Linked DNA regions of Callithrix jacchus. The protein of the gene in region 2 interacts with the protein of the main gene of each other region in a pairwise test. Links are inferred from orthologs where the notes say so. Each region holds a gene or a part of one and is shown on either strand. Other genes may lie near its edges.

What was found.
Region 1: the proteins of NDUFAF3 (region 2) and NDUFAF4 interact in binary tests that used the Homo sapiens proteins (3 or more experiments, as listed by UniProt). The two-hybrid records come from large-scale screens. The link is inferred for Callithrix jacchus from reciprocal best matches to the Homo sapiens genes NDUFAF3 and NDUFAF4.

The regions. Positions count from the first base shown.
Region 1 is NC_133505.1:102,832,473-102,834,891, forward strand, and holds the end of NDUFAF4 (NADH dehydrogenase [ubiquinone] 1 alpha subcomplex assembly factor 4), read right to left. Parts: intron 1,261-2,419; coding exon 973-1,260; 3' UTR 549-972; downstream 1-548. UniProt on the Homo sapiens protein: Involved in the assembly of mitochondrial NADH:ubiquinone oxidoreductase complex (complex I). May be involved in cell proliferation and survival of hormone-dependent tumor cells. May be a regulator of breast tumor cell invasion.
Region 2 is NC_133516.1:31,651,346-31,654,013, reverse strand, and holds NDUFAF3 (NADH dehydrogenase [ubiquinone] 1 alpha subcomplex assembly factor 3), read right to left. Parts: upstream 1,800-2,668; 5' UTR 1,776-1,799; coding exon 1,699-1,775; intron 1,577-1,698; coding exon 1,384-1,576; intron 1,223-1,383; coding exon 1,156-1,222; intron 1,048-1,155; coding exon 947-1,047; intron 868-946; coding exon 751-867; 3' UTR 637-750; downstream 1-636. UniProt on the Homo sapiens protein: Essential factor for the assembly of mitochondrial NADH:ubiquinone oxidoreductase complex (complex I).

The DNA of each region.
Region 1 (2,419 bases), on a different chromosome or scaffold from region 2:
ATATATTAGGCAGAGCTAAACTCGTACACACTCAGATCCTACGTGCTGTGCTAACAAGTTTGCTAAAACGGATGAAGCAGCAATTTCCCAGGTCCCTTCCAATGATCCTGTTCTCTGCTTCTACTTGCTATTTTTTCTCTCTTCTCTCAACTAGGGTTAACATTTAGCATATATAATCGCCAAATTTCATTTTCATGGTTTTTAAGTTATTCTTTAAATTTTTCTATTTCCATGTTAAATCCAGAGAAATGTACGTTTTTCTAAAGTTTCTACTGCTCTCTGCCTCTCTGAAGCCATGGGACTTACCTATTTGTCAAAGCAGAAATTCCCAACATTTTGTAAACACCACAAATTACTTTTTGTAACTGTAAAGACAATTATTCCATACTTAAAACCAAATCAAAATAAAATAAATCCTCAATACTTCTTACTCCCTGGTGTAATTTTAATTAGATTCTATTAATTCGTTTTCTCCTGTGTGCCTATATTTGGGAAATATTGTTAGTGTACCTTGCTATCAAGTCTTTCCCTGACCCAAAAAATGACAGTTTTGAGTCAGGAAAGCTTTTATTTTCACTATCACATGTGAAGAATGAACGAAACACTTAACATGGAAAGTAAAACTTAAATGAGGGATTCAGAACATTTCCCAAGGGGTCGTATGACCAATCTAAAAGTTGGCATGATGTGCCTAAAACAACAAATTAATTATTTTACTTAAAATAAAGGTACAGATGTGCTGATAGTCATGCTGACATTTACATATGAAATATGCCTAAACAAAATTTAAAAAAAACAAAATACATGCTATGGCAATCTTGAAAAGTCAGGGAGCTCAATAAACATTAAGAGTATGTTCTCACAATAAGAGCATTAAACACTTGGTAATTAACATAATTTAATATGCTAAAAATGAGAAAATATACAGGATGAAAGATGAGGAGTACACATAGGACATTTTAGTGCTTTTCTTCATTTTGGTTGTATTGCTTTCTTGTCTTCAGGAGGGAAGACTTTGACTTCAAAAGTAACAAAATATTTAAGAAGGGAATTCACATCTTTCTGTTCTAAAAGGTACTCTTGCGCTATTTTCTCAGCAGTCCATGTTTCTGGATAAAGTTTATGATTATTGAGAAGTGTCAATGCTTCCACAATAGAAATCTTGCCTTTTGGAACGCTCTTAATATTTATCATATCAAAGTGTTGGCCTTTTGGCAATCTGAATTCCTCTGGCTCTTGAGGTGTTTCAGCAGCTTTTACCTAGTATCAAACAAAAGAAAAGCATGAGAGAAAAGATTTGACATCTACTTTCACACTTCTCAAATCTACACTATTCCTCTTCAAATAACAACTGATATGATTTGGATCTGCATCCCCTCCCAAATCTCATGTCACAGAATTGTAATCCCCAATGTTGGACGTAGGCCCTGGTAGGAAGTGACTAGATCATGGGAGTGAATTTCCCCGTTTGGTGCTGTTCTCGTAATAGAGTTCTCACCAGATCTGGTTGTTTAAATGTATGTAGCACCTCTCCCACATCCCCTATTCTTCTTGCTCTGGCTGTATAAGCTGTGCCTGCTTCCCCCTCTGCTATGATTATAAATTACCTGAGGCTTCCCCGGCAGCAGAAGCCATTATCCTTTCTGTATAGCTGGTAGAATTGTGAGCCAATTAAACCTCTTTTCTTTACAAACTGCCCAGTCTCAGGTATTTCTTTAGAGCAGTGCAAGAATGAACTAACACAAATACTATACGTCATTTCCCAAACTTCATTTTCTTATAATGAGCCATAGTTTAATGGTACTTTTGCCAGTTTGCCTTCTCATAACTATAGCTCTATCATTATTAAGAAATGTAGGTAGCTCTAGAAAATAATATCAAATTTATACTATCCACTAACCACATTATTTCATGTGTTTTAAAAGCACAATAAAAATGATTAAAAACTGCACCTGTTTTAAAAGGGCAGGATTCTGATGCCACCCTAACAGCTGGCTTGATAACATCTATTCATTTTCCAGCTTTGTATTTCATACTCAGCTCCCAAACACCTTGAATAGTGATCTTGTCTCCCCTGAGAAAAAAATGCCTCCAATACACTCCAGTATAAATAAAACAACCTATGCACACCCATCCTTCCTTCTATCTGTCCCATCCCAGCTTAACCTCCACACATGTGCTCTGCATTCCAATCCTGTTTCCTGGCCATGTCTAGCATTCTTTTTTTTTTCTTTTCCTTTGTTTTACTGCACTGTGCCTACTGCTGCTTTTTGGTCAAACAAATGCTATAGCCAGTACCATTTTTAACATACCGACCAAACCCAAAACCAACACCACTTTTATTACCAGTTTATTTCTCTTCAGTTAATGTTTAAAAGAAATAATGCTTGTGATCTCTAATGACCGCCTAGTTGCTTAA
Region 2 (2,668 bases):
TACTAAGTCATACTTGGCCACATAGGACCAGGTCAAGACATATACATATTCCCTAACCTAAATAGCTCTCGGCCAGGTGTGGTGGCTCTTGCCTGTAATCACTTTGGGAGGCTGAGGCAGGTGGCAACATATTAAAACCCTATCCCTAATAATACAAAAATTAGCTGGGCGTGGTGACATGCACCTTTAGTCCAGCTACTTGGGAGGCTGAGGCAGGGGAATCACCTGAACGCGGGAGGCAGAGGTTGCAGTGAGCAGAAATCACCCCACAGCATGTCAAAAAAAAAAAAAATTAGGTGCAGTGGTGGGGGCCTGTAATCCCAGCTACACAGGAGGCTGAGGCAGGACAATCACTTGAATCTAGGAGGTGGAGGTTGCAGTGGGACAAGATCATACCACTGCACTCCAGCCTGGGTGACAGAGCGAGACTCTGTCTCAGAGAAAAAAAAAAATCAGTGATTTTGTGAGAAAAGGCATTGAGGTCCTCTGAAATCTGCATGTGAGCAAGGTCTAGAACAGGTAAACATACTATCCTAAGTAATCTAGATGAAAAAGTGACCCCTTGGTTTCTTCACATTTTTCTCCAAGAGCTCAGTGAGCCAGCAGCACCTGGCCAGCAACACACCTGATACAAAATGGGAGAAGTGTATAAATTATTATGTTGGTAAGCAAGATAAATGCCAAAGGGGAGATAAGGGTGAAAGCACTGGGAACTGGCAGAGTGTAGTCAGCAGGTCAGTTCCTGGTGGTTCACTGAGTAGCTTGGCCCAAAGATGTGAGTGAAGTCCCTCCTGGTGGAGGGATGAGAGCAGCTCCGGTTACTCGGCCTTCATTACACAAGAAGTTGAAGGTGGCACAGGCATTGGGCTGCAAAGAAAAGGCCAGAATCAGCCTGTCTAGTGCCAGGCCTGTACTCCCCACAGCAGGCCCCAGTTATAGGACTCACCGTGTCCTGCACTTCCACAGCAATGCCCCGCTGCCTCATGGCTCGAAGCACCCGGGACTGCAGCCTCTCAGTCCGGTCTCCAGTCCCCACCACAACAATCTCTAGGGAAGTGAGGATGAGACTAGTCTACAATTCTGTTGAGAGGTTGGAGTGGGGGTTGCCTTTTAGGGCTCAAAGCACCTCTGCCCTGCCTCCCCTGTCCCCAGTACCTATCCGGGGCTCCAGCATCCAGAAGAGGGAAAAGCTCTCTTCGGTGATGTCCTGGTGGGATCCCACCTGTGCAGGGAGATGATTTATTCAGTACGACAAATCTACGCAGCTTCTCCCCACCTCCATCCACTACAGGAGATAGAGGAAAGCCACGTCTACAGGGACACAAGCAGGCTGAGGACCTGTGACTCTGGACCTCAGTTTCCTCACAGCGGGTCAGGACTCACGTTCCATTGCAGCAACGAATGCGGGAGCAGAGCGCAGGGCCCGAGCACGCGGTTTCCGTTTATCATGAAGCCGCGGCTGTTGTAACTGTCGATGTACATGGTCTGAAAGCCTTCGCGTTGCAGCAAAGAGATGTGCGTCCGCTGATACAGTTCGTCATCTGCTGGCGAGAGCCGATGCCCCCGTCGCGGGGCCCTGCGGAGGGAACGGGTCAGGGGCACAGGGCCGGGACGGGCCGCCCGAGAAGCCAGAAGGTGCGGGGTGGCAGTCGCCGGCCCTAGGGGGTGGGATGGTCAACAGTGAGGGGTCCAGCTCACCAGGAAAATTCAACAGGCAGACAGCGCAGCGAGGGTCTCGCTCGGTACAAGCTGCGTAGCGCAAGAGCGGTGGCCATGGCTGATCGACGCGCGGCGAAGTCGTCACTGACGCCGGTTGTTACCGGGTTGGCGGGGCCCTGCGGAGGCTGACCCAGCGCGGGTGCAGCGCCCCCTGCGTCCCGGAGTGCACGGCACAGCTCGGCCGGCCCAGCCGGCGAATATCATCTGTCCTGGGAGGAGGACAAGTCCCCCGGCCTCCGGCGCAGCTCCGATGTCATCACCTGCCCCTCGCCCCGCCCCGGGTCCTTGCCCACAGTCCCAGGGGAGTGGAACACCTGGTAGTGTGGCCGCCCTCGGCGTTGCGTGGGCCGCAGTTGCGGCCTGGACCCCCGGCTCTCAACTATTAAGCCGCGCTCCCGAGGCGGGGCAGCCACCCACCTAATCGTGAACCGAACACCTGGCCAGGCGGTCCATGCCAGACTTCGAGCCCCTAATCCTAGCCTTTGGGGCTTCAGGCACCGTGGGCGGGGCAACCAGCTCAAGTTTCTCCGGCTCACAACCGAAGCAAGTCCCGCCCTAACCGTCACCCGCGCGACCGTTGGCCTCTCAGTTGCGCGCTAGAGGGGCGTGGCCTAGCGTGGATTGGCTTATCGGGTGCTCCAGGAGGCGTGGCCAGGTGGTTTCGCCTTAAAATAGCTCCAAGTCTGCGGGCAGCCAGAGCAAGCGGAAGGGCAAGCTGTGGTAGTGTTGGGGTTGCTGCTCGGCTGGGCCAGACCGGGCAGAACCGGACCAGACTTGAAGTAGAAACGCGTGGAGCATCACCTTGTCCTCGTTCACTCTGCTCTCGTCCTGGGAGTCCCCAGTCCCCCGTCTTGAACCAAGTCAAGGGCCTACTGGCGCGAGAGTCGTTGGCGCCCGCGCGGGGATTGGGTATCTCGGCACGCTGGCTCTGTCGTGGCCCCAGGGGAAC